Canis lupus familiaris: one gene and its partners. The protein of the gene in region 1 purifies or fractionates together with the protein of each later gene. This does not show direct contact. Links are inferred from orthologs where the notes say so. Each region holds a gene or a part of one and is shown on either strand. Other genes may lie near its edges.

What was found.
Region 2: the proteins of POLR2B (region 1) and MED26 purify together in Homo sapiens (affinity purification with mass spectrometry; 3 studies listed by BioGRID and IntAct, with this or other methods). This does not show direct contact. The link is inferred for Canis lupus familiaris from reciprocal best matches to the Homo sapiens genes POLR2B and MED26.
Region 3: the proteins of POLR2B (region 1) and POLR2M purify together in Homo sapiens (affinity purification with mass spectrometry; 3 studies listed by BioGRID and IntAct, counting the BioPlex papers as one, with this or other methods). This does not show direct contact. The link is inferred for Canis lupus familiaris from reciprocal best matches to the Homo sapiens genes POLR2B and POLR2M.
Region 4: the proteins of POLR2B (region 1) and RPRD1B purify together in Homo sapiens (affinity purification with mass spectrometry; 4 studies listed by BioGRID and IntAct, counting the BioPlex papers as one, with this or other methods). This does not show direct contact. The link is inferred for Canis lupus familiaris from reciprocal best matches to the Homo sapiens genes POLR2B and RPRD1B.
Region 5: the proteins of POLR2B (region 1) and MED19 purify together in Homo sapiens (affinity purification with mass spectrometry; 4 studies listed by BioGRID and IntAct, with this or other methods). This does not show direct contact. The link is inferred for Canis lupus familiaris from reciprocal best matches to the Homo sapiens genes POLR2B and MED19.
Region 6: the proteins of POLR2B (region 1) and CTDP1 purify together in Homo sapiens (affinity purification with mass spectrometry; 3 studies listed by BioGRID and IntAct, with this or other methods). This does not show direct contact. The link is inferred for Canis lupus familiaris from reciprocal best matches to the Homo sapiens genes POLR2B and CTDP1.
Region 7: the proteins of POLR2B (region 1) and RPAP2 purify together in Homo sapiens (affinity purification with mass spectrometry; 3 studies listed by BioGRID and IntAct, with this or other methods). This does not show direct contact. The link is inferred for Canis lupus familiaris from reciprocal best matches to the Homo sapiens genes POLR2B and RPAP2.

What each region holds. Positions count from the first base shown.
Region 1 is NC_049234.1:49,869,758-49,873,257, forward strand, and holds part of POLR2B (DNA-directed RNA polymerase II subunit RPB2), read left to right. Parts: intron 1-729; coding exon 730-894; intron 895-3,131; coding exon 3,132-3,328; intron 3,329-3,482; coding exon 3,483-3,500. UniProt on the Homo sapiens protein: Catalytic core component of RNA polymerase II (Pol II), a DNA-dependent RNA polymerase which synthesizes mRNA precursors and many functional non-coding RNAs using the four ribonucleoside triphosphates as substrates.
Region 2 is NC_049241.1:46,329,858-46,333,902, forward strand, and holds the start of MED26 (mediator of RNA polymerase II transcription subunit 26), read left to right. Parts: upstream 1-1,245; 5' UTR 1,246-1,429; coding exon 1,430-1,501; intron 1,502-4,045. UniProt on the Homo sapiens protein: Component of the Mediator complex, a coactivator involved in the regulated transcription of nearly all RNA polymerase II-dependent genes.
Region 3 is NC_049251.1:23,182,613-23,186,620, forward strand, and holds the start of POLR2M (protein GRINL1A), read left to right. Parts: upstream 1-1,208; 5' UTR 1,209-1,342; coding exon 1,343-1,455; intron 1,456-3,637; coding exon 3,638-4,008.
Region 4 is NC_049245.1:27,117,545-27,121,799, forward strand, and holds the start of RPRD1B (regulation of nuclear pre-mRNA domain-containing protein 1B), read left to right. Parts: upstream 1-1,455; 5' UTR 1,456-1,883; coding exon 1,884-2,034; intron 2,035-4,255. UniProt on the Homo sapiens protein: Interacts with phosphorylated C-terminal heptapeptide repeat domain (CTD) of the largest RNA polymerase II subunit POLR2A, and participates in dephosphorylation of the CTD by RPAP2. Transcriptional regulator which enhances expression of CCND1.
Region 5 is NC_049239.1:38,958,074-38,962,040, forward strand, and holds the start of MED19 (mediator of RNA polymerase II transcription subunit 19), read left to right. Parts: upstream 1-1,167; 5' UTR 1,168-1,375; coding exon 1,376-1,643; intron 1,644-3,967. Other genes in the region: TMX2 (thioredoxin-related transmembrane protein 2), read right to left, coding at 800-988. UniProt on the Homo sapiens protein: Component of the Mediator complex, a coactivator involved in the regulated transcription of nearly all RNA polymerase II-dependent genes.
Region 6 is NC_049222.1:894,734-898,233, reverse strand, and holds part of CTDP1 (RNA polymerase II subunit A C-terminal domain phosphatase), read left to right. Parts: intron 1-85; coding exon 86-176; intron 177-2,337; coding exon 2,338-2,504; intron 2,505-3,262; coding exon 3,263-3,500. UniProt on the Homo sapiens protein: Processively dephosphorylates 'Ser-2' and 'Ser-5' of the heptad repeats YSPTSPS in the C-terminal domain of the largest RNA polymerase II subunit. This promotes the activity of RNA polymerase II.
Region 7 is NC_049227.1:57,130,708-57,134,207, reverse strand, and holds part of RPAP2 (putative RNA polymerase II subunit B1 CTD phosphatase RPAP2), read left to right. Parts: intron 1-1,212; coding exon 1,213-1,311; intron 1,312-1,516; coding exon 1,517-1,582; intron 1,583-3,500.

The DNA of each region.
Region 1 (3,500 bases):
AAAATGGAGAAGCCAGTTTTTATGAAAGTGTAGGCTAGTAACTTTTGTTTCATTTCTGTATGTGTATACAATTAAAGAGAAATTGGAAAAAAAATTATGTGAGAGAGGCTGTTTAATTTTGAAATACTATTCAAATGAGATACCTTACCAGCTCTGAGTTAATATTTTTCATTCATGCTTAGCTTTTTTCCTGTGTTTGCCTATATATATATATATATATATTTTTTTTTTTTTTTTTTTTAAGATTTTATTTGTTTATTCATGAGAGACAGAGAGGCAGAGACACAGACAGAGAGAGAGCAGGCTCCATGCAGGGAGCCTGACGTGGGACTCAATCCCAGGTCTCCAGGATCTGGCCCTGGGCTGAAGGTGGCACTAAACTGCTGAGCCACCTGGGCTACCCTACATATTTTTTTTTTGACCCGTTATGTCTTTCTTCCAGAGAATTTTTTGTGTTTTGTTTTTTTTGTGTGTGTATTTTTAATAAGAGAGTCTTGGCAGGCATAGAATAGAGGATGGAAGTTCTCTTAGGTCTAAATGATCAGCCTGTTCATAGAATTAGTAAACCTGTTTCAGTGTCTTTGGCAAGCAGCCATAGGACATTCCTTAAAGTTTGAAAGGTATACTTCTTTTGAAATACATACTGTGGACATGTGTATGAAATGGTTATGATATTTTTATGTGACCGTGATCTCTTTGTACTGATATTCTAATGTTTTATTTTTCTAGGGTGCAAAAAAGAGTGCTATTGGTCAACGCATTGTGGCAACTCTACCATATATCAAGCAGGAAGTTCCCATCATTATTGTGTTTAGAGCATTAGGTTTTGTGTCTGACAGAGATATTTTAGAGCATATTATTTATGATTTTGAAGATCCAGAGATGATGGAAATGGTAATGTAAAGCAAAATATATTCGCAGTGTTCTTTTTTTTTTTTTTTTTTTTAATTTTTATTTATTTACGATAGTTACACAGAGAGAGAGCTAGAGAGAGGCAGAGACACAGGCAGAGGGAGAAGCAGGCTCCATGCACCGGGAGCCCGACGTGGGATTCGATCCTGGGTCTCCAGGATCGCGCCCTGGGCCAAAGGCAGGCGCCAAACCGCTGCGCCACCCAGGGATCCCTATTCGCAGTGTTCTAATGAGAGGTTTAAAGTTACTGACTTGGTAATCTTAAAACATAGTAGAAAGATGCTTTGAAGAGTAATTTAGCGGCCACAGATCCATGCTATTTACTGTGTAGCAAAAGCCTTCAGCCTTGCTTCAGCTTCTTTCTTGACAATTCTGTGTAAAATAGACATAAAAACTAGAGGCAGCCAGAGTTCACCGATAGCAACAAGAAGAAACCATAGTAAGAAAATCATGAAAGCATACCATATGGTGCAATTTAGTAAAAAAAAGAAATGTATAGTAAAAAAAGAAAATGAATAGTTGATAACCTTTTTTAACTTTTTATTTTGAAATAATTTCAAACTTGTAGAAAAGTTGCAAAGAACTTTTGTATACTCTCATCCAGATTCACTAGTTGGTACCTGTGCTACATTTGTTTTAGCATTCTCTTTATTTATACATGTTATTTTTTTCTACATTTGAGAGTAAGTTTCAGGCATTGTGCCCTTTATTCCTAAATACTTCAATGTGTATTTCCTATGAAAACCAGGACATTCTTTACATATTCATAATACTTAGCTTTAATACTACTAGGCCATAGATCTTATTTAGGTTATTGCCAGTTGTCCTGAATTGTCTAAAGTCTTTAGGACTACTAAGTAAGAAGGTTAAATGGAGGCCAAACATTGGTCACAAAGTGAGATAGCAGAATGAGTACATTAGTTATTAGAGCATTGATGCAGTTCCATGAGAAAAATGGATTCTGGTTAGATTTTACTTTTAGCTTTTACTAATGGTCGCGTTTTTGTGTTTTTTTTTTTTGTTTGTTTTCTTTAAATACTTAAAGATAGTAATTATTTAAGTATTTAAGAAAATTTATTATCTTTTAATCCAAAAGGCATTGCAAATGATTCAAAATTGATTCAGATCATATTCAAACTGGAATTTTCTTAGGAAAGTGAAAGAGCTGATTTGCTTTATGTCTGTTACATACTTATTTTTAATTATTGCTTGTTCCTTTAGCTCTTACGAAGCTTAGGCCAATTTTTACAGTCCGAGTCAAGCCATTCACTTTGCAAGAGTACTTTAATTTTTTCTTTTGTTTTCCTTTTTTCCAAATCCATATTAACCTTAACAAAACAGTTTCATAACATTGATGATTTAAAAAGACCACTTCCATTTGCCATATTGTGGCCTCACTTTGACTGGTTTATGTTACCTTTTTCTGATCGTTGGTTCTATGATTGGAATATGGATATTTTTAGACTTTTGAGAATCAGTGATAAATAGACATAGGAAGTCAGAGGCAGGAAAGACATTTCAGAAAATGTGATAGAATTCAAGTGTATATACAGAGGCCAAAGTTAAGTGGTACCCATTCTTCATGCTCATTATGTAAAATGGAATTTTAGAATGTTAGAACTAGAGTGAGTAAAACTTGGGGATTATCATGTCTGACCACCTCAGACAAGGAAACTGATTACATGACTGCTTAGAGGCCACACCCACTTTGCTGCAGGTATAGAACGTGTAGGTCTCTATAACAGTCTGCCTTTGAAATATTGTGCTTTACAAAAAACAGAGTAGTTTTATTTATAGGTTTAAAAACCTCTTAAAACCAAGACTAAAACCAGCCTAGTGCATTTATTCATTTGTAGTTGAGTCAATTTTAATTTGACTATTAAACTTTTCTAAATTGGTGTAAGATATTTAGGAATTTTTGTTTTGCCATTGTTAACTAAAATGTAAAAACCAAAAACTGCTTTTTTTTTTTTTTTTAAATAATAGGGTTATTTGTATTATTTTAGGAAGTGTAATTGTGTAGATTCTGTCAGATCTCTAGATCTTAAGACTTATTCAAGTTTTAGGATTTTGTGGTTCCTTGTTTTTTAAAAAAAATATTTGCGTATTCTATTAAGTACATAGGGATATTTAACAAGTTATAAATGAAAGTTAACAGTTACTTATTTTAAGGTGAAAATATGAATTTGAAAATAACTTTCATTTGAATTTTCTGATAGGTGAAACCTTCTCTCGATGAAGCTTTTGTCATCCAGGAGCAGAATGTTGCACTAAATTTCATTGGCTCAAGAGGGGCAAAGCCTGGGGTCACTAAAGAGAAAAGAATTAAATATGCAAAAGAAGTCTTACAAAAAGAAATGCTCCCTCATGTTGGTGTCAGTGACTTTTGTGAGACCAAAAAAGCTTATTTTTTGGGGTATGTTAAGATTTTTGCCAAGATACTGTCGAGATAAAGTTTTCCTTAAAGTTAAAAATATCAGAAATGGTGTTTTTAATATACAAGTTTTTTAAAAAGCCAAAAGCCATATGTATTGTTTTTCATTTTCTTGTTTCTTTTCTTTTTTTTCAAGGTACATGGTTCATAGGTT
Region 2 (4,045 bases), on another chromosome or scaffold:
GCTGCCTCTCTCCTGTTTTAAATCTAGGTCTTCCTGTAACAACAACAACAAAAAGTTCTCTCTCGGGAGGCTGCGGCTAATAACCCACTCAGCCTGCCTTCTAGCCCCATAACAGTATCGGGGCTTCCAGGCAGCGAGGTGGGGGTGGGGAAGGAGACTCCACTTAGACTTGACATTGAACAATTCTGGGTTTGACCTAGAACTCTGGGTGACCTTGGGCCTCAGTTTCCTCTCTTGTGAAATGCTTTGTTCAGAGAATGAGGGTTTCCGTTTCTCAGCACCCTCCGCGCCAGCAGGGTTCTCCACCGGGGCCGCCCTGCCGGCCAGGGGACGTCTGGCGATGACTAGACATTTCTGGCTGACCTGACCGGAGAGCGCCACCGGCGTTGAACGGGTAGAGCCCCAGGATGCGGAGTACCCTAAAATGCGCAGGACGGCGCCTGCGGCCGGGGCCCGCCCACCCACGTCATCGGTGCCCAGGATGAGCAACCCCGGCGGACTCGGGTTTGCGACCTCGGGGTCGGTGGGCTCCCTGGGCGGGCCGCGGCGTTTCCCGAGCTGGCGTGACGGCTCCGCCTCCCCCCGGAGGCGCTCGGCGACCCGTTTCCGTGATCCCAGCACGCCCAGCGCCGCAGACCTCCGCCCTCGGGGGGGCGCCCCCCGCTGACCCTGCCGCGCGCGCTACCACAACGTGGACCTGTCGCCCTCGCCCTCGGGGCCGAGGACCCCCGGCTCGGAAAACGTGGCAGCCTCCCCCGCCCGCGGCTCCCGTCACCTCCGTCGGTGGGGAAAGCTTTTCTCCCCAGTGAGGAGTCCTTCCGCTGCCCCCCTCTGAGGCGGCCGCCCGGGGCGCCCAGGTTCAAGGACTCGGCGCGCTCCGCGCGTTTCCGTCGGAAACCTCAGTTCCCCACGGCCCGGCCGGGGGCGGGGCCTCCAGGCGGCGGCCGTTGCCCCGCCCAACCGCCTCCCAACGGCTCCCTCGGCCGGGCGGTGGGCGGGGCGGGGCGGCGGTCCAGTGCGCTTGCGCGCGCATGCGTGTGGGCCCTGGGCGGGGCTCGCGCGCAGCCCCGCCCAGGCCCGGCGTCTCCGCCCGCCCTATCTCCCAACCTCCTCAGCGTGGCGCCGACGCTGCGTGCGGCGCGGGTTACCCAGAGTGCTCCGCGCGGGGGCAGCTCACTGGAGTTTGGTTCTCGAGGCGGCGGCAGCAGCGGCGGCGGCTCCGGTGGCTCCTCCTCCTCCTCTGGTGGCGGTGGCGCCCCGGGCCCGAGCCCCGGCTCCCCTCTCCGCCACCCCGCGCGCCCCCTCCTCCCCCGGCGCCGCGGGGAACATGAGGCTCCGCTCCCGGAGGCCGGCGAGTGAGTGACCCCCGTCCCCCGCCTCAGCCCGCCCGCCCGCTGGCCCGGCCGCTCCCCCCCGCCTCGCCCAGGCAATGACAGCGGCTCCGGCGTCTCCGCAGCAGATCAGGGACCGGCTGCTGCAGGCCATCGACCCCCAGAGCAACGTAAGTACCCGCTGCGCGGGCCGGGACGGAGGCCGCGTGGGCCCGGGACCCTCCCCCTCCCCAGTGCCCCTCGCCCGCTGGGCTCCGGGGAACCCGCCCGACGCCCACCTACCCCCGAGGGCCGCTGCCATCCCGGTCTCTCGCCCCACGGGCCCGAGCCGGGGGCAGGTCGGGCAGTCTGGCGGCGCTCGGTACGTGAGGCCGAGGCTTCCGTGCGGCCTGGGCGGACGGAGCAGACGGGAGCTGAGGCCAGAGCTTTCCCTTCTTTCTCGCTCCAGCTCTACGACCCCTGCTGCTCCTGACGGAGCTCACCCACCTCGCCCTTCCCCGGGGACCCGCGACCCCCGGGAAGTCCTCCCGGCGTGGGGGGAGGGGAAGGAGAAAGGCTGTGGAGCAACTGGTGTCCGGGGTATGACTCGGGAGCCTATGCCGCCTGTGTCTCGGCCTTTTGGGTGATCAGGGAAGTCCTCCTTCCCTCTTCTCCCGGCTGGAAGCACCTTCCTGGCTTCATAGGGAACCCCCAGCCTACTTTGCCCTTAGCCGGTTGCCCAGGGCGCGTGGAGAGTCCCCCCTTGGTTCTGCCGGTGGACATGCCTTTGCCCGATCCCTCCTGGGAACGCTGCTGACGGTAGATGATCTCGGGGACGGTGGGATTCTTCCTATTACCTTTCTGGGCCTAAATGCCCGTTGCGTCTATAACCGAGCCAGAGCCCCGCTTCTTGGTGTGAATTAGAGGTGATTATTTTCTCTCCTGTTTGTTCAAGAGCCCTCCTTCGTCTATCCCTACCCCTCACCTGAGTGTTCCAGCTTGGTGGTTTGTCACCTAGACGGTCAGGGTTAACCCCAGAGTGTGGCTTTCTCAGACGGAGGTCCACCGAGGCTACCGTTTGCAAAGGGATCTCCTCTGCCCCCCTTCGTGTGTGTAGGGGAAGACTCATAGTGTTCTCATATTTTCTCCAAAGGATTGTTGGCAGTAGGGGTTATTTTCCCCTGTGGCAGGAGCAGGTTGAGCAATAGGAAGATGTTGTGGTATCCAGGTATGAAGCGAGCCCCTGCATTTGCTGGGAGACCAGGAAGTGGCCATTAAGATCACTTTTTAATATGCTGGAGATCGAAGGAAAAAATATTATCTTGGGCTAGGTAACTCAGGTTTCTCTTTCTGTAGGGTTTTTGTTTTTCCTTACATGAGTTTGACTAATTACTCTTAACACTCTGTTTTAGGTTGGTATTTTTAGAGTTATTCGCCTTGGCTTGTATAATTTTGGTAAAAATTGCGAAGTTATGATCTTCTTAAGACGCTGGTTTTTGTATCATAAGTAATCCTCTTCAGGCCCCAATAAGATCAACTTGGTGGTAATTGTCTTTAACAAATGTCGTATACGTTTTTGTTATGACTTTGGGGGTGGAGTAGGCGCAAGCTATATAAAACCTTCTAGAATTTTTTGCAGTACCTGGTGCTGCTGCAGTTTCCAACATTGAAATATTAGAGGACAAAACAAGTGACACGAGAAACGTAACCTTGGTGACTTTTTGCATCTTTTATCCAGAGTGTAATTTCTTGAATTCCATGTGCTTGTTTGCCTTCAGGAGAGTCTGAGAGGTTGCTGAGATATTAGCACTGATCCTTAATGCCACCTAGGAGAGCTTTGGGATCAGGAGGCGCTTTGACAGGCGGTCACGATGTTGTAGATTAGGTGGAGCAGTGACCTCAGGGGTTCCAGTGTTCTGTAACGCTGTAATCTAAAAGGTTCCTAGGGAGAGAGGAGGAAGGAAGGTTAGCCAGAAGAGAGAGAAGAAAACAAATCTCAGTTTTTTTGTATTTTAGTGAGTGCAGAGATGATACATTCATAGAAGCCCATGGTTTTAATGGCATGTAGTTCACATTTCATATGGTTTGTTTTGAGGGACTACCGATGGGTGTGCATAGAGTTCTGCTAATAAAAGTGTGGTGAGTGGAATTGGGAAACATGTCTCTGAATATGAGCGATGAGGAAAGTGCCTCTTTAAATGCTGCCATTGCTAGTGACCATCCATGAGCCTCGTCAGAACCTTTTGACAGGAGTGTGGCTTTGAGCAAACTCCACTGAGAAACTGGAGCCGTGGCAGAATAGGTTACCGGCAGAGATGGTGCGACCATAATTTTGCAGTTTCTCTGGATTGACCTGGGCTCAGGTGAGAGTGAGGTAACTACAAGAAAGCATCGCTGGCGCACAGCTGCTTTTCTCTACCTTGCCCAATTATGAACTCCACTTTGGGATAGTTAGTTGACACATATTTAAGATACTCATGGAAAAAAAAATGGGGACAGTGTTGAAGAGCCAACACTAAAATTAAACCTCTTCTGAGAGAAGCGACACAGAATTGTGTCATATAATGCTTACCTTTATGGGCATGCAGTTATGGTTAACAAACTTAGCTTTTGCTTAAAAAATCAATGTCAGGCAGCTGACCTAATACCCACAAGTATCTGAGAAGTTAGTGAAGTAACAAAGTAACTGACCATCTCCTTGACAAATGAGTCCTTAAGAGGAAAGTTGTCTTTAT
Region 3 (4,008 bases), on another chromosome or scaffold:
CACGCTTTTCCTAGTTTTGCTTTGGGACACAGCTCTGGTAGCTGAGCTGTAAAGACAAAGTCAGAGCCACCTGGGATGCTTCTTACACTGCTCTACTCTTAAGATTCTTAACAACCTGAAAAGAAAAAAAACAAAAACAAAAAAAAACTTTCAACAGTTTTAAACATTTGGAAATAGGCGGAAAAAAAAAGAAGATTTTTTCCAAACGGGTGTGGTAGAAAGAGTAGCTGGGCATTGGAGTGACATCTGGTGCGGCCACTTAACTAGTTTTGTGCCCTGGGAATACCTCATTGATTTTGCGCCTCTGCTTTCCCACGGGCGAATTGGGCAGTTAGGAAGGATCGGTTTCAGGCTGACTTGTCCGGCACCTGCCACCATCACCTCCGGCGGATTCTGGAGGGGCCTGTGTACCTGCGGGGCGGGCCGAGGGTGGGGTCGGGGGGCTGGGGGGGGGGGGGGGGGGACTGGTAGAGGCGTCGGGGATTGTTCCGAGCTGGGAGCTGCACTGAACCAGAGGGCGCAAGCCAGACACATAAATGTCCTGCTCCGAATGCCACTGAGTCCCACTAAGAAACGCTGATAGTCACGAAAAATCCCTCCAACTTAGTTTGAGGACCTCACTAAGCCCTGGCCGCCTGGGCCCCGTCCGGCACACTCCCCCGGCTTCACCAAGGGCGAGTTTCCACTTCCATCCCACTTCTCAGAAGGCACCTGCCGGGGGGGGGGGGGGGGGCTTCTTTTTTCTTTTTTAAAAGATATTTATTCGTGAGAAACAGAGAGGGGCAGAGACACAGGCAGAGGGAGAAGCAGGCTCCCTGCAGGGAGCCCGACGCGGGACTCGAAACGGGGTCCCCAGGGTCACGCCCCCGGTCGAAGGCGGCGCTCACCCGCTGGGCCACCCGGGCTGCCCCTCTTACTGCTGTTTCACCATTACCTGATTAGTGTCTGCCTCCCTCCACCCCTCGGTAAGCTCCACAACGGCAGGAGTCGGGGACACGTGTTGGGGGGTCACAGCGGCGCTACAGGCAACACTTTTCGAATAAACCTGAAGAGCCGAGCCGACGAGCCGCGAAGAGACCCCCGGCGCCAGCGCGCCCCGCCCCCTCGGCTTACGTAACTTCCGCCCCTCCCCGCTCCTCCCAGCGCCCCCTTCCCCTCGCCTGTGTTTGTTTCCGGTGTTTCAATAAAGCTCGATTCGGCTCGAAGAAGCCCCGCTCTTCCGGGAAAATGGCGGCTCCCGCTCGTACCTCGGAGTCCACGCCGGCGGCGGATCCGGCGCCAGCAGCGGGGGCTGCCGAGGGAGCCGAGTGCCCGCCGCCGCGCCAGCCGCAGCCCCCGCAGAATGTCCTCGCTGGCCCGCGGCTTCGAGCCCCAAGTTCCCGAGGACTTGGGGCGGCGGAGTTTGGCGGAGCTGCGGGAGATGTTGAAGCGCCAGGAGAGACTTTTGCGCAACGAGTAAGCTGGGGTCCCGCCGAGTCACCGCCAGGCTTCTCCGGTCGGGGCTCCCTGGGACGCGTTCGTTGCCCTCCCCCGCGTCGGGTTCCCTGCCCTGGAAGGTGACCTTCCCTCCGTCAGACCCGGGGGTGCCGCCGGCCCGCGGACGGCCTCCCGCCGCACAGGCGGCCGCGCGAGGGCCCAACGGCCGGCTGCTGGAGTCTCAGCTGTTCCCTGAGTCCTCCGCGGTGCTAATGACCTTGCTACCCCGACGGCTCCCTGAAGGGAGGGGCCGTGGCCTAAATCCCGTGGCACCTCCGCCTCCCTTGCCGCCCGGACCGGGCCCAGGACACCGGGTCAGTTCCGTCTCGGTCCCGTTCCTACGGGAGCTGTAGGAAGGAGAGGGAGAGTCTGGAGTGCTGCATTAGGCAGGAAAAGTTTGTCCCCTCCAGCTGGCCGACTTCCCTTTAGCAGGTGAACAACATAATGAGAGTGATTTTTTTATTTTATTTTTTTTAAGGACGCTTCATTTAGCAGATCGGTGCAGGATGGTTTTGGAGGAATCCGAGGCAGGCGACAGCTGGAGGTTATTTTCAGAGAAGTTCCCAGCAAGGGGGACTGTAGAAGAGTAGTTGTCGGATTGGGAAAACTCCGACCAGGCGTGGAATAATCGGGGTAGGTAGTTGAAAGGGATGGCTGAAGTTCCCAGCCTGTAGGGAGGACCACTGGTAAGAACAGGAAAATTGGGGAAGAGCTCCGAGGTTGAGTTTACTCGGGGGGTGCTGAGTTGGACAGGGAGTTAGTTAGATGTACTTAGAAGATAGAGTAGGGGGACCCCTGGGTGGCGCCGCGGCTCAGCGCCTGCCTTCGGCCCAGGGCGTGACCCCGGAGACCCGGGATCGGGATCGAGCCCCACGTCGGGCTCCCTGCGTGGAGCCTGCTTCTCCCTCTGCCTGTGTCTCTGCCTCTCTCTCTCTCTCCCTCCTCTCTCTCTCTCTCCTCTCTCTGTGTCTCTCGTGAATAAATAAAATCCTGGGGAGGTGGGGGAAAGCTAGAGTAGTGGTCATGAGGATCCGGAGAGAGAAGGCTGAGGACATGTAGGAATCTCAGCTGGAGAGGGATTCGGTGTTGTAATTGTGGGAAGGAATGTAATGTGAGAGAATGGAGAGCCAGAGGTGTAATCTATCTTCCCTCCGTTTCTAATAGAGATTAAAAAAAAAAAAAAAAAAAGAGAGAGAGAGAGAAACTGAAAAGGAATTTCTGTCAGTCAGCAAAAGGGACAAATGACCATTTGGGAGCTTTCGAGTAGGTTCAAGTACTTTGTGAGAATGGTTTTTTAAATCTATAGCAGCGAGTTAACCTTTTGGTCTCAGGACCCCATTTATACTGTTAAGACTTAAGGAGCGTCCCAAGGAGCTCTTGTTTTACAAGACACATCTACTGGTGTTTTACAAAACATCTACTTACAAAACATCTACTGGTGTTTATTGGTGTGTTAGGAATTACAGGTGAGAAGGGCACTTGGGTGGCATCATCGGTTAAGCGTTGGATTCTTGGTTTTGGCTCAGGTCGGGATCTCGGTGGGGAGATCAAGCCTGGCGTCGGCTCCAGGAGTCTGCTTGGGATTTTCTCTCCCTCTGCCTTTTCCCATTTGTGGTCTTGCGCTCACTCTCTTCCCAAAAATAAATAAATTAGAAAAAAAAGTAATTACAGGTGAGAGATCTTTAAAACACAAGAATACACAGTGATTAGCCATCAGAGCAGTATCACGTGGCCTCTGGAAAACTCCCATTATACCCATATGAGAAAAGGAGCATGGAAATGGCAAATAATGGTTTAGTATTATTATGAAAATAATTTTGACCATGCAGACCCATCCACGTCCCCTCCTTAGGAAGGCCTTGGACATCACACTTTAAAAACTGCGAGTTTTGGGGTGTATTATAGGATATTATGTGCTTAAAATACTTTTGCTGAAATTCTAATTAGACAGATGAGGAATACTTATTTCTGCATCATGTATTTTTAGAGTATTTAGATAATGCGTTTTACTTTATTCCTGTTCTGATGCAGTAGGAAGTCAGATTTTTGGCTTAAAGATAGATTTTTTTTTCCCTTTGAGGATAATGCTTTTGTCTTTGTATCTCAAGTTTAAAAACATGATTCTAACAAATACATGTGTGTTTTTTTCCCCATTTAACAGAAAATTCATTTGCAAATTGCCCGACAAAGGTAAAAAGATCTTAGACTCTGTTGCCAAACTGAAAGCTGCCATTGCAGAATGTGAAGAAGTTAGAAGAAAAAGTGAACTGTTTCATCCTGTTAGTTTAGACTGTGAGCTAAAGCAAAAAGCAATTGCAGTTGTTGATGTGGACACAGATAAGGCCCAGAATTCTGACCAGGTACTTGATACTTCATCACTAGTTTGTGGCTCTTCCTCTGTAAGTAACATCAAGTCATCTCAAACAACCTCACAGCAACAGGGACTTGTACATCCTTTTGGTGAAAGCTATGAAGAAGCTCCAGAAGTGGAGTACACAGTGAATAGGTGCCCAGCCTCCAGCAGCAGAGCCC
Region 4 (4,255 bases), on another chromosome or scaffold:
CTGGACAGATTACTCAACTATGTTTTATGTTTTCTCATCTTTCAAATAGTGATAATAATCCACATCCCACAGAAATGTTGTTAAGGATTAAGTAAAACAAAATATGTAATGTGCTTAATACAAAGTGATTTGGTGTAAGTGTTCATTCAGTATGTGATAGTGCTGCTTAATATAGAAACATGGTCCAGATTTGGACTCGGGGGCCCTAGGTTACAATTATAACTACATTTTGACTGTGTAATTTTAGGGCATTTGCCTTTTTTATATTAATTCACCCAATCAGCTCTGAATAAGGTGGCAGGATGAGAAAACTAAAAAAGATGCAGTCCTTTCCCTCTAATCTTAGTTATGTGATCTTGGGTAGGTCGCCTAACCTGTCTTGTTTCCTAATTTGCCAAATGAGAATAACACAATAACTACCTTATATAGCTCTGTCGTGAGGATTAAATGTGTTACTGTGTGAAAACAGCATCTAATCTCATAGCAATTGCTCACTATGTTGGCTACAAATATGATTACGATGATTCTAGTCTGGAAGAGGAGTGAAAGAGCTAAACAAAGAGCTACAATATGGTGCAGTGAGAGCAAAAACAGTCAACTAGAAGAATGTCTCTTAACTAGGGTTTCCCCATAACTGGTAAGTTCCACGATAACCAGGATCTTTTAAAACTCTGTTATGTGTACAACAACCTAACTCCCTACCACCAACCCCACAGCAGCTGGAAGGACAAATTTCTCTACTGATTTGATCGTTGGAATTTAAAACGTTTTAAAAATACGTAAAGAGGATAGTCTCAAACAGCGTTTTAAAGGAGATCAATGGAACCAATGACCTCCCTGCCCCCACTCTCAAAAAGGTTAACATACTGCTTAAATTTGAGAAACGGTCAAATGGACCCCCCAGAGGGCAAGGGCAGCACAAGGGCAGCACGCAATTTCCTCAAAGAAGCAACTAAATTAAGAGCACAAAGGTGTGTTTTATGGCAGTGCTGTCAGAGTAAAGCTCAGAACTGGACATTAAAGGGTGGTCCTGGAGATCGAGTGCGGGCACACCAGATGAGAAGGCGGGGGGCGAGGGGTCACCTTTGGAGAAAGAACAGCAAGAGCCAAGGCGTGAAAAGTGCACGTGGGTGGCTTGGCACAACCAAAAGGAAGCTGGGGGTGGGGGGGCGGAGAGCAGGACGGGTACGGAGAAGACTGCGGCCTGGGGCCTGCCAGACGAGGGAGAAAGCGCCCCCCCGCCCCGTACCCATTCCTGATCCCTCGACATGAGTGTCTCTACCGGATCTCCCTCTACGGCTTCCCGGTTGCTGGGTTCCCTCTTGCTCCCGCCACTCTTCCCTTACCTCGTCTTCCAGCCTTTCCCTCACTCTCCCGCCTCCTTCGCCCCGCCGGAAGTGACGTGTAACTAGCGCGCCACAGAGCGCCAGAAAGGTTCTGCGGGAGCGGGAGAAAGGGTTCCGGCGAGACTCCCTGCGCCTGCGTGCGGGCGCGAGCGGTCAAAGCGCCTTCCGGAGGCCGCCGGACTGCGCTTCTTTGCCCGTCTGTCGCTTTCGAAGTGCCCTGAGCGAGGTTCGGGGAGGCCGCCGCCACTGGAGGGGCGTTTTTCTGTAGCTCTGACACCTCCCGGTGCCCAGCTACTCCGGCCCTTGCCCTTTGACCCTGCTCGCGGCGGGGTGAGAGGTCGGTGGCCATCTTGTGGCGGCGGCGCGGGCGGCTGTTACTGCGGAGACCCATCCCCTCCCCCTCCTCGCCCCCTGGCCGTCAGTCAGTCAGTAAAGAGCCCCGCAGGCGGTCAGGTGAGGCCCGGGCCTCGTGCGGTCGCTCCTCCCGCCGCACTGGGCGGCCCAGGCCGCTCCCTGCAGGGCCCCGCCGCCGCCACCATGTCCTCCTTCTCCGAGTCGGCGCTGGAGAAGAAGCTCTCGGAGCTGAGCAACTCTCAGCAGAGCGTGCAGACCCTGTCGCTGTGGCTCATCCACCACCGCAAGCACGCGGGACCTATCGTTTCTGTGTGGCACCGAGAGCTCCGCAAAGGTAAACACCCCCTGGGCCCTCCCCCCATCCCACTCCCGAGGCTCCCCTCAGCTGCTTGCTTTCCAAGCCCGGGCCTCTGCGCCTCTGAGGGGCGCAGGCAGTGTTATCCCCATTTCTCAGAGAAGGAAACTGAGGCCCAGGTAGGTTCAGGGTACTTGCGTGAGGCTCCCAGACTGCGAGCTCGTCCAACACCCCCCCCCCCCCCCCAAGGCTACTCCTGACACCTGGGACTGTTCTTATCTCGACAGCCTCGTAGAGGGCACTGGCCCTAGGCTGTTGTGTGCCCGTGGCTTGGCTGAGCGTTTGGAGTGAGACTGCCCGCCCGGATGCAGTCCTGGCTCAGCCGCCTACTAGCTGGATGACACTGGGCTAGGGTCTTCCTCTCTCTGTGCTTCTGGTTTTCTCATCCAGAGGACGAGGACGAGGGTAGCTGCCCCTTGCAGAGCCTTTATTCTGTGCGGGTCAAGCATGCCAAGACCTTTCTGGATATCCTCACACTGGGTCCTCGGACACATCTGTGAAGTGGGTACAGTTACCCCCATTGTGGACGCCTCGGGCCGAGCTGCCTAGACCTTGCCTCTCAGGCTCGTGCATCTTTCATTGATTCCAGGCCCTGCTCAGGATCTGACAGACGGACCCGGAGCTCAGCCCGTTCAGTGCCAGGCACCGGGTTGGATGCCTGATAACACGTTGGCTCCAGAGGCCATCTGCCTGGAATTTAAGCCTGATTCTGCTAGTCACTGACCCCAGCGGCTTAGCCTCTCTGACCCTCAGTTTCCTTACCTGTGACATGGAGGTGATGAAGACTGATATTTACTGTGCCTTTAATAATGTGCCGGGCGCAGTACTGATATTTTTACATACACTGTCATTTTTTAAATTCTCAGAGTTCTCTGGAGTAGGAACTTTGCAGATGAGGAAAACTGAGGCTCAAACAACTTGGCTGTGGTAAGGAGTAAACAGGATAATCCAAATGAACATCTAGCATGGTGTCCAGCACAGTTTAGGCATTTCATAAATAATGGTGAAACGGGACTACTGGTGACTCAATGTAAGGCATGATCTTTGCCTTCAAGTTGCTTGTAGCCTGGTGGGGCAGGATAGGCACTTTTATAGCTGTTAACCTGATAATTCCATACCAGGAAGCTGAGGAAATGAAGCTTAGAGCCATTTTGGAGCTTAGATTAGCCTCTGTGTAGTAGGCCCTTGATAGCATAGGAAGTAACTTTACATGTGTTTTCTACTATCTGTGAGATGGAGTAGGTTAAGTGGTGTTTTCAGTGCCTTAGACCTGGTGAGGCTAGATTGCATTAGGCTGTCAGACACCAAGATCCTGGATTCTTCCAGGAGACCGACCCAGTTCTAGCCTCGCAGAGACTCGCCTTCCCACAAATACATGTGCTGTATGCTGTACTGAGATGGGGTCCCCTCCGGGCAGTTGGAGAATAGAGTCTGGAGCCCCTGAATTCTCCTCCTTCTACCCTACTTGAGTTATGGAAAATAACAATTTAGAGAGTGCATTCATCTATGAAGCACTTTTAACCCTAATCTCATGTGATCCTAATTTCATAGAACCTTCTGTTTTAAGGAGACCAGCATTGTTATCTCCCTTTTATAGATGAGAAGGTAAAGATATGAAGAGATTAGTGCTTTGTTAGGGGCATATTGCTGGAGCATAAGCAAGAGCCCTCTGATGCCAAAATTTGTACTTTCAAGTATCCAGTGCCTCAGTGCCCCTTAATAAGTGAAGGTGATCATCTGGACTCCAACCAAACCCATAGCACTTATGTTGATCAGAATTAGTCAATGTATCCCACCCCATCCCATACCAATTTAGCATTTATTTCATGCTTACTAGTTTTGTCTTTTTCACTAGGTTTGTGTTTTGAGGGAGAAACTAGGTCTCCTTGTTTCTTTTCAACACCCATAACATTTAGCATGGTGCCTGTTACACAGTTTAAAAATAGGTTAGGAGTTCGATTGTCTCCAACTTCATTTTCATGGTTGAACAGAGGATCTAAACAGCACGACCTAATACAACTTTCTGTAAAATGTTTTATATCCATAATGTCCAACAAGGTAGCCACTTGCCACATGTGGCTATTGAGCATTTGAAATATGTGACTAAGGAATTTAAAAAATTTTTTTAAAGATTTTATTTATTTGAGAGGGAGAACTCAGGGGAGGGGGAGGGCAGAAAAAGGGGGAGAGGTAGATTCCT
Region 5 (3,967 bases), on another chromosome or scaffold:
TAGGAAAGCATTAACAAGGGATGGAGGAACAAAATAAGGGAGTGGGTTCTGGTAAAGGTCAAGACTCACTTTGGGGGCTGGGGAAGAAAAAAAAGACGAAAACTCAGGTTGACCCCCCTTCCCTTCCCGCAGAACACACCCGCTGCTGTACAGCAGGGCGCACAGAGCTTCAACTCCTTTTACTCCGCACCTACTCGAGGACAGCAAGTCTCAAGGGAGATTTCTTTACAATTTTGTTTTTACGATTCCTTTTCAGCGGGCCTAACGCCTGTGTTGATGTTTTTGCATCCTCGGAATGCGGCAGCGGGCCTAGCAGGTAACGCGCGCCCTGGGAGTGTTAACTGAATCCAGGAACGGCTGCCAAAGCGTGCAGGGGTGGCTGCGGGTCGCAGTCCCTCACCGGTGGGCTCCCTGGCGACTACGCCGAGGTCAAGCTCTCCATCAGTTAAACGGGGGCACCACGACCCGCCTTGTTTATACCTCACCAGCTCCTCCAGAAGCTTTACATAAAGGGCGGCCCTGTGAAATACTGGACACGTGGCGAGTTTGGGTACGGCCGCTGACCAGCATGAACGGGGCGATGGGAAGAACCCTGCACTCCAGAATCCTAAGAGCCAGGCGGCCGTGCAGGCTAACCCGCTGTCTGCCCATCTCAATGAAGCACGAAGAGGTTTAGGCTCGACGATGCTCCAGGCCCCACATTCTAATAGTCTGTGAGGCCGCGACGGGCTCGGGACCTCGAGGCTCCCGCATGCAACCTCGGGGAGCAGGGACAGTGAAGGTCGCGGGGTCCGCTCACCCAGTCAAAGTCACACGGGTTGCCGTCTTCGCGCTGCGTGGGGAGACTGCTACAGAGAGGGGGCAGCTTCCTCACGAGTAAGAATGCAACAGAAAGCAGGGCTGACAGGAGATAATAAGGTCGGGCCAGCCATCGTGAAAGTCGTGGCACCGAATACACCAGAGCGATTAGAGGTGCCAGGACCGCCATCTTTCCGGCCTTTGCGGCGCCCGCGGAGCTTCGGCGTCTGTAGGTCTGGCCCCGCCCCTTCCACCAGCGAGCCTTCCATTGGGTTTGGCCTCGGATGCACCGCCTCCGCGCCCGGAAGTAGATCTCTGATTGGACGTTGCGGAAGGTAAGGGGCTTTGACGTCTTATTGGCCGACCTAGATGTCGCTTTCTCCACTTAAGTCATTTTATTGGATATGCGGCGGTGGCGCACGGAGACGGCCTTTAGGGGAATCTCTGCAAGTTAGATAGCACTTCCGGAACGTTCTCATAAAGCGACGGAAGTAGCTGCCAGAAAACGGTAGGCGGGGCACCCAATGAAAAGCGGCTCCTAGAGGAAGGGGGCGGGACATCGTGAGAGGATTGTCCAATGAAAACGACCGACGCCAGACACAGGGACCGCGCCGGGGCGGAGGAGACGATGGAGAATTTCTCGGCGCTGTTCGGAGCTCAAGCTGACCCACCACCACCACCAAGCGCGCTCGGCTTCGGACCAGGAAAGCCTCCACCTCCTCCTCCCCCTCCTCCGGGCGGGGGCCCCGGCACGGCCCCGCCGTCCACCGCGGCCACGGCTCCCCCCGGCGCCGACAAGTCGGCGGCTGGCTGCGGTCCCTTCTACCTTATGCGGGAACTGCCAGGTGAGTACTAGGCCTGGCAGAAGGCAGCCAATCGGATCGTACCGAGGAGGCGGTGGGCGTGGCTCTCGGCCAGCCGGGGGAGGTGCGGGGTATCCTAGGCAACGCGTGCCGGGCCTCGGAGCTCCGAGTCGGGAGGGCGCTGAGGACTCGCGACCGAAGGGTTGACATGAATTTTTGGCCTGGTTGGGAAGGGGGAGAGAAGGCCTTTCGGCGACCCATCTTTCACACCGAATCTGGCTCTGTCCCTGATGCTAGCTTATGGTTCCCTGAAAACTCTCCGGGGTTTGAGTTTGGAACTCGAGACGCCTGATTTAACATCCGTGCAGACCTAAGGTTTTCCAGATCTGTCACAGACATGCTCTTGGTTTGAGGCGTGTTGCCGTCTTCCTGAGGGCTTCCGCGTTTCCTCAACTACCCGAAGGAGGGAGGAGACTCGAACCAAAGAATTGTTTTGTTGAGCACCTACCGTGTACCAAAAGCACTGTTCTAAATGCTTAAGATACAGAAGTGACTAGGGCTGACAGGTACCTCTGCCTGTTTTGGAGTTTACATTTCAAAGGAGGCGGCGGCACAGTGCACTAGATAACATCACACAGTGGTTAGTGCTACAAGGAGAAAATGTGATAAAGAGTTGAGGCTTTAGCCAGAGTGATCAAAGAAGCCATCTCCGCGTAGATAATATTTGAGCGTAAAGAGCCAGTCACGTGTGAGTGGGAGAGATAACACGCAAGAAATGAGGTCAGAAGCCCTGGTGTGAGGGAAAACCATGGACTATCCGAGGATCAGAAGACCAGTTGGACTCCAGTGAAGTTTCAAGGGAAGGAGTGATAGGAGATGGAGGGCGTGGGGGAGACAGCCTTTGTAAAGCATTTAGATTTTAAGTTCAGGGGAGCCGTTGTATTTTTAAAAATTTTTTTTTAGTAATCTCTGTACTCAAACTGGGGCTCAAATGCACCACCCGAGATCAGGAGCCACCTGCTGTACCAACTGAGCCAGCCAGATGCCCCTCAGGGGGAGCCATGTTAGCACACAGGAAAGTGACACGATCTGATTTTACTTATTTTTAATTATCCAAACAACTACATTAAGAATGGAAAGTGGGGAAATCAGCCAGAAGTTACTGCATAGTAGTCCCGGAAGGAGATGATGGTTTGGACTAGGCAGTAGCAGTGCAGGAGAGAAGTGAACTGATGCAGGGTAAATGTTAGGGGCAGAGCTTAGAGGAATGAAGGGTTGAATATAGAAGTAGGGAGGAACTTGTGAATTCCTGGCTTGAATAGTTGGGTGGATGGTAGTGCTAAGACCAAGAAGGAACACGTTTGAGGAAATGGAAATCAAGAGTCGCTTTGGACACGTTAAATCTCCAAGTTGCCCCTCAGTTCCTCCCAAGTTCTACTGCTACATCAGGGGTTGAGGGAAATAATAATGCATATTGGCCTGGTGCTTTGAAGTTCACAGTGCAGTTGCAGTTAGGTATGTAATAGAATTTGATACTGAGAATAGCCTCTTGAGATAGGCATGTTACACTTGAATAAAACTAAAGCATAGAGAGGTTGACTCTCCTTTGGTCAGTTAGGGGTTGATGTCTACCAGCACTTTCTCTAACCTTATTTATTCTATTTATAAAATTGTACCTATTTATATCAACCACTTGACAGATGCTACTACCTGTTTGGGGCAAGTATGTAGGAAGGGGGGCACCTGATGAGAAGGAAAAGAATAAATCTAGCCCTTGCTTTTAAGGAGCTTATTTTACATAGGGATATAACATATGTGGTTTAAGGATAGTGACTATAGGGCAGCCCCAGTGGCACAGCGGTTTAGTGCCGCCTGCAGCCCGGGGCGTGATCCTGGAGACCCGGGATCGAGTCCCGTGTGGGGCTCCCTGCATGGAGCCCGCTTCTCCCTCTGCCTGTGTCTCTACCTCTCTCTCTCTCTCTCTCTCTGTCTCTATGAATAAATAAAGTCTTTAAAAAAGAAAGCTTTTTTTAAAAAAAAAGGTTAGTGACTATATTTCTTGTTAAGGCTGATCTCATTACTTCGTGATCATACCTCATATACTATTGAGCACTACATGATGGGGGCCCCTGGGTGGCTCAGTAGGTAGAGCATGCAATTCTTGATCTTGGGGTTGTAAGTTCGAGCCCCACACTGAGAGTAGATGTCTACTTAAAAAAACAAAAAACTACATGTTGGTTTTCAAAATGTGTTCCTTGATCCAAAATGACAGAGTTGTCACTTGAGCCAAACCTTGGAAATTTCATATGGGTGAAGAAAACTTAGAATAACTGTCTTATAATTACATCAATTTTCCTAAGACAAAC
Region 6 (3,500 bases), on another chromosome or scaffold:
TGTCCATTGCCCAAGACTGCAAGCTCCCTGGGGGAAAATATCAGCTGGTCATATGTCTCACCATTGTTCTGTTTTCTTTTCAAAGGCTTTTTAGACCCTGAAAAGAAGCTTTTTTCTCATCGAATATTATCAAGGGACGAATGTATTGACCCGTTTTCTAAAACAGGGAACCTCAGGTACGTACTTGGCTGTGTTCATTGAGGCAGAAAGTGCATCAGGCTGGCAATCCAGTAATTCTGTTTACTTTTTTTTTTTTTTTTAAGATCTTATTCATGAGAGACATAGGGAGAGGGAGAAGCAGGCTCCCTATGGGGGGAGCCTGGTGGGGGACTTGATCCTAGGACCCCGGGGTGACACCCTGAGCCAAAGGCAAACGCTCAACCACTGAGCCCCCCAGGCATCCCCTTCTGTGTTTATTCTTCCTGCTTCTGGCTTTATCTTCACAGCGCTCAGAAACCCTGCTGTCTTGTCGCCCAGCCTCTTCCCCTTCAGATCCCCAAGCATCCAGGCAGCGGTGGGCTCCCCCAGGGTCTGAGGAAGGGGTGCTGAGATCAGGGCTGGGGCAGGGCAGAGTGGGAGGTGACGAGCAAAGGGACCCAGAGCTCCTCCAAGAGCTTGGTGCTGGTGTCTCATGGTTGTTTCCCTAGGAGTGTGCATGCACTAATCCTACTGGCTCACTCCCAGATCTGTCACCATCCCATCTGCCCCTGATTACATTCCTGTCCAGCACCCGCTGCCCCTGCCTGCCCTGCTTTCACAGTAGGGTGCTCCCACCCCCAATCCACAGGCTCTTGTACATGTTTGGAAATTTCTTCACTCTGTGCAAGGAACTTTCCCATTTCTACCCAGAAAGGTAGTCCATCCATCTCCCCACACACACTCCCTCCCTCCCGTAGGGTACACTTGTTTTCATGCACATTGGTCCCTGAGGATATTTGGGCAGTTACACTGGGGCCCTGGCTTTGGCTGGTGTTGGTCGTCCTTGTCCAGCGTTTCCTGTTTCAGATTTAGGATGTGGGCACACAAGGCCGTAGGAACCCAGAGGAGAACGTGAAAGTACTTGCTTCAGAAACCAACCTCGTGTGTCCTAGTTACTGTCACGGTGATCAGTGATGAAGACAGATCCATCTAGTGATAGATTCAGGGAGAAGCTACCTACCCCCAGTGAGAACGCCAGAGGGGAGCGGCCTGTTCCCCGGCAGGCACAGGTGATATGGCTTGTATAGGTACAGGCAATGGGGCTCTTCCTAGTTTTTATCTCCCTCATCTGGAGTCAATATGCCAGAAAGTTTCGACTGTGCAAGTTATTTTAGCTGCCTTTTATTTACCTGTGGGAAACAGACTCAGGAGATACTAATTTTGGACACATGAACATGTTTTCCTGGGTAGTTGGAGCCATTAGCGACTAGGGGACTCAGCAGGGGCCGGCAGTCCTCCCAGGGTTATTTCCAGATCCAAGAAGAAATCGGTTTTGTTTTTTTTGTTTTTTGTTTTTTTTTTTAATTTTTATTTATTTATGATAGTCACAGAGAGAGAAAGAGAGAGAGGCAGAGACATAGGCAGAGGGAGAAGCAGGCTCCATGCACCGGGAGCCCGATGTGGGATTCGATCCCGGGTCTCCAGGATCGCGCCCTGGGCCAAAGGCAGGCGCCAAACCGCTGCGCCACCCAGGGATCCCAAGAAATCGGTTTTGAATTTTGAATGCTACCAGCCTGTCTGAATCCCAGAATTGTAGATAGAAATAGAATTTACAAGCCTGTGTGCGGTTAATAGAGCGTGCCTGCGTCTGTCCCATGGCGAACCCTCGCTAATGTTTCTGCTGACTCTGTATATTCTAATAGCATTCTTGGACTTGAGAGCACGTAGGTGCACTGCAGGAAACCATGGTTTATTTCCCACGGTGGAGATATATGGTCATGTCTCTTCCCCCCCATTACCTGAAAACCCTCAGCTGTGAAGCAGAAGTCTGCAGACTGGCTCACAGGCTTGTCACCTGTATTTGTAAATGTCCTGGGACACGACCATTTGTGTGCCAGCTTCCCAGAACGTGGACACAGCCCCCACACTCTAAACTCCACACTGTGGCTCCATAAGGAACATGTGCTGGTTCCTGCCTTAAGGAGTATCAGAGACAGTGGAGAAAGCTGAGTTATTTTAACATTGCTTTGTCTGGAAACTTTGAGAGTTTAAATATGAGCTAAACAAAGTCCCTCGGTGTCATTCCCATCTGTTTCTGTCTAATCCATAATCTGCTTGCTGCCTGGAAAAGATTGTCATGACTTCTAACAGATTATTTTCTTGCAAAATATGCTAGTTCGGGTATGTTTTTACTTCTAGAAATCTCTTTCCCTGTGGAGACTCAATGGTCTGCATCATTGATGATCGAGAAGATGTCTGGAAGTTTGCCCCCAATCTGATCACCGTGAAGAAATACGTCTACTTCCAGGGCATAGGAGACATCAACGCTCCCTCTGGGTCTCGGGAGTCCCAGGCAAGAAGGAAAGGTGGGTGAAGGCCTATTGCCCAGCAGCCCCTGTTGGCAGCTGCCATCAAAGGCTCACTTTGTTTCTGTTCCTTTGTATTTCAGTACTTACAGAGCTGCCTGTCTGTGTTCATGATAAAATAACGAAAAGCACAACGTTTGGTTCTCACTTGGGGTTTTCTTTTTAAATAGTATTGATCTAAGTGTTTTCCCAATTGAATAAAGATGAAAGAATTAGCTTAATTCATTATATTTGAATCCTCCCTGTCATACTGGTTTCTCTTAAAAGATAAGCAGGACATTGGGAATTTGGCCATTGTGATCCTTGGAAAGCGTGAGCTGTGGGGTGGAGCAGCTCCAGCAAGCTGGTGGTTGGCACTGTGCGTTGGCCCAGAGCCTACAGGGAGCCACACAGCTTAACCTATTGGACAAGTGTGAAGCCAGAGTCTGTCTGAAGAAAATGTAAAGTTTTGGTGTGAAGTGTTTCTGATGATCTTTAGTTTGTAGACACGATGTTTGAAGCCTACAGTGACTGCTGTAGTCACGAGGCCTCCCGCAGGGTGTCCACCCACAGCATGGGAGCCTAGAGCGTCCTGTACACATTTTAACCAGTTGTGAAAACCAAAACAGAGTGACCATCTGTGGCCAGAAACCTAAACATTTGCCTTCACAGCTGCAGTTTGCTGAGCCCAGGTCTAGAGACAAACACAGGGGATGGGAGAAGGGGGTTCATGTTGGATGTTATGTAACAGTCACCCTTTGTTTTGTGCACACCTGCAGTAAATCAGTCTTCAAGAGGTGCTGATGGCCCAGAACAAGCTCCGTCCATCAGGGAGATCGAGGAAGGACGGCAGGTTTCTGGGGTTGAGCAAAGTAATGGCCTTGGGAAGCCCATGAGGGAGCTCAATGGGGGCGCCTCTCCACGAGGGGACTGGCCCCTGCCTGGGCAGGAGGAGGAGAGAGGAGCCCGGCCCACCACCCGTGGCCCCTTGGCTGATGGCAAGGGGCCCCCCGCCTG
Region 7 (3,500 bases), on another chromosome or scaffold:
TGTGTTGAGAAATTATTACATTATTTAAATCTGTACGATATGAAACTTCCTTGCATTATCAAAATCTTTGACTCTGTTCTCAGTCACAAGATGCAGGGAGCATGCTATGTAATTCATGCATTTTATTTTTTTTTCAAAGATTTATTTATTTATTCAGAAAGAGAGAGAGAGAGGCAGAGACACAGAGGGAGAAGCAGGCTCCATGCAGGCAGCCCGACACGAGACCCGATCCCGGGTCTCCAGGATCACACTTTAGGCTTCAGGCAGTGCTAAACCGCTGCATCACTGGGGCTGCCCTAATTCATGCATTTTAAAATAATAACTATTACGCATTCCTGGTTGTATAATGACTTTAAAATACACTAAAGAAAAATAACATGCCTGTTTAACCACTTAATAATAGTTCTTTAAACAAGTCTCCTAATCTCACTTGATTTTCATCACTTTGCACTAATTATCCCAATGTTATTTTCCATATTCTGTGTGTTGTCCTATTTTAGTAACAGAAGGTTATTATTTTTGTTAATGTAGTTCTTTTAGTTTTGATATTTTAAAAACCTGAAATATAGATCACTTATGATTTAACACATAACAAGAGAATTGTAATCTGTATTAAAAGTTGTTCTTTTTTTAACAACTCTATTGCGTTAAAATTTGACCATGAGTATATCAAAGGGAAATAATTGATACTAGTTTATAAGTACCTAGTTTATAAGTCCCCTGTACAGGTTTTCAGAAGCTGAAAGATTTTGCAGAAAAATTTGTCAGGACTCACAAGCACACCTTTGATATACATTGTTTTTAAAGATAGTTCTTTAAAAACAGGTAAATTATATTTTATTTTACATGTGACTAATTTTTTGAATAGTACATTTTTAAAATGAAATCCACTTTTTAGTGTTTTGCTTTGGAATAGCAATTGCTATAGCACCACTTCTTTTTCTTGCCTCAGATTTATTTCATGGACTATGTATCTACAAAGATGCACAGTCTCCTGGCAGAAGTTTTTTCAGGTTGTTTGTATTTTTAATAATAGCTAACATTTTTGAGTGCTTACTATGTGTTGAGTGTATTTATTTTCTCCTCTCCATCATACCTATGAGCTAGACATTATCCCTCTATTTTCTGATGAGATCAGTGAGGTGTAGAGCACTGATAAATTAAGTTTTCCAATAATTTAGCAGGGGAAATGCTCCTCTCATTTCATTGTAGGGGAAGTTCATCACACCTGCTCACTACAGCGATGTCGTGGATGAGCGTTCTATTATCAAACTCTGCGGTTATCCTTTATGTCAGAAGAAACTAGGAATTGTAAGTAACAAATATTTTAAAATAGAAGCTTTAATTTTTTATATTTAGCAAAATACTTTGTAGATAAGACAAGAAGTGAAACAGGCTTGAACTAATGACATGAGTTAGCCAAAGTTATGATATGTAGATAATTTAATCTTGTAACATAAAGTTTATATTTATTACTTGAATTCTTCTTAAGCTATACTTTATTTTTTCCCTTTAGGTACCAAAACAGAAATATAAAATTTCTACCAAAACCAATAAAGTCTATGATATTACTGAAAGAAAGGTAAGCTTAAAGGCTGTTCTCACTGTGGCAGTTAATTTTTAATATACTAAATGGAATTTTTTTAAAAAGTTGAAAAGTTTGCCTTTTAGAAAGTAGCCATGCTAAAAGTTTATTTGAAAATATTTCATTCAAGATATTAGAAAAAACTGCTCATGCTTTAATAAATACTTGAACATTTAAAAATTCAAAGTGCAGGATCACCTGGGTGGCTCATTCAGTTAAGCGCCCAACTCTTGATTTTGGGTCAGGTCATGATCTTAGTGTAGTGAGATCAAGTCCCACATCAGGCTCCTGTGCTGGACATTGAGCCTGCTTGGGATTCTTTCTCTGTCTTCTGCCTCTCCCTCCCCCGTTAAAAATAAAATTTAAATAAAATAAAATTTAAATTGAAAATTAAAATTTGTGCATACTAGCACAACTTAAAGCAAGTAAATCAGGAACAGAATAGAGATCCAGAAACATACTAACCATGTATGTGGATACTTTGTATATAATAACAAGAATATTGTGGATCAGTGGAGAAAGTATGAATTTTTCAATAAATAGTAGTGGCACAAATAGTTATCCAAATGGAAAAACTGAAAATTGATCCCTGTAATAGTTATCCAAATGGAAAAACTGAAAATTGATCCCTGTTTCAGTGTACATAAATAAATCAATTTTAGGTAGATTAAAGATTTAAGGTTAAAAGATAAACACTGTTTCAAAGAATATGGGAAGGTTTCTGTAAACATGGAGAATTTCTTAAATAAGGTACACAATTACACACAATAGAGGAAAAATTGGTAAGTTTTTTTCTACATTAAAATTAAAAGCAAAAATAAAAAATAAAAAAAATAAAAAAATAAAAGCATTTGCTTATCAGAAGTTTCCAAAAAAGAGTGAAAAGATAAGCCATAAATCAGAAGGAGGTATATTTCCATAGAAATGACTAAACCTAGTAGAATTTTTTTCTTTTTTTTCTGAAAGAAAGAGTGCATATGTGTGCGAATGGGGGTAAGGGCAGAGGGGGAGGGAGAGAATATCCATCTCCCAAACCCAAGACCATGACCTGAGCCAAAATCAGGAGTCACTTAACTAGCTGAGCCACCCAGGTGTCCCTAGAAAAATTTTATAGAAGGAACTTGATAATGAATGAAAAGATGATCAATCTTGTCAGGAAAACAGCAAATAAAAACATTGATTTACATGGGCAGCCCGGGTGGCTCAGCGGTTTAGCGCCTGCCTTCGGCCCAGGGCGTGATCCTAGAGACCCAGGATTGTCCCACGTTTGGCTCCCTGCATGGAGCCTGCTTCTCCCTCTGCCTGTGTCTCTGCTTCTCTCTCTCTCTCTGTCTCTCATGAATAAATAAAATCTTTAAAAAAATAAAATAAAAACATTGATTTACATTCTCTCAGCCCCCAAAGTAGCAAAATTATAAAAATCTAACAATATTAGGAACTCCTTATACTACTGGTTAAATATTAGGAACTCCTTATTCTACTGGTTAAATAAAATTGCATCCTTTCTGAGAAGAAATTGGTATTATCTTTCTGAGAAATTGGTATTATCTAGTAAAGTCAAGTTCACACATTTTTTATGGCCAAACTTTTCTGTTCTTTGGTATATATTCTTAGGGATTTCTTGCCTGTATGTATTGCTATGTATGTATAGGAATGTTCCTAGTTGGATTAACAAAATATGCTATATTCATAGAATAGAATGTTCTTCACCCTTTTAAAGGAAGGAAATTCTGACACATACTACAGCATAGATGTATTTGAAGACATGTTAAGTGAAATAAACCTGTAAAAGGGACAAATATTAAATGATTCCACTTATATGAGATAACTAGAGTAGTTTGATTCATGGTTACAAAAGTAGAATGGTGATTATCTGAGGAGGCAGATATGGGGATTGTTGTTTAATGGGTATAGA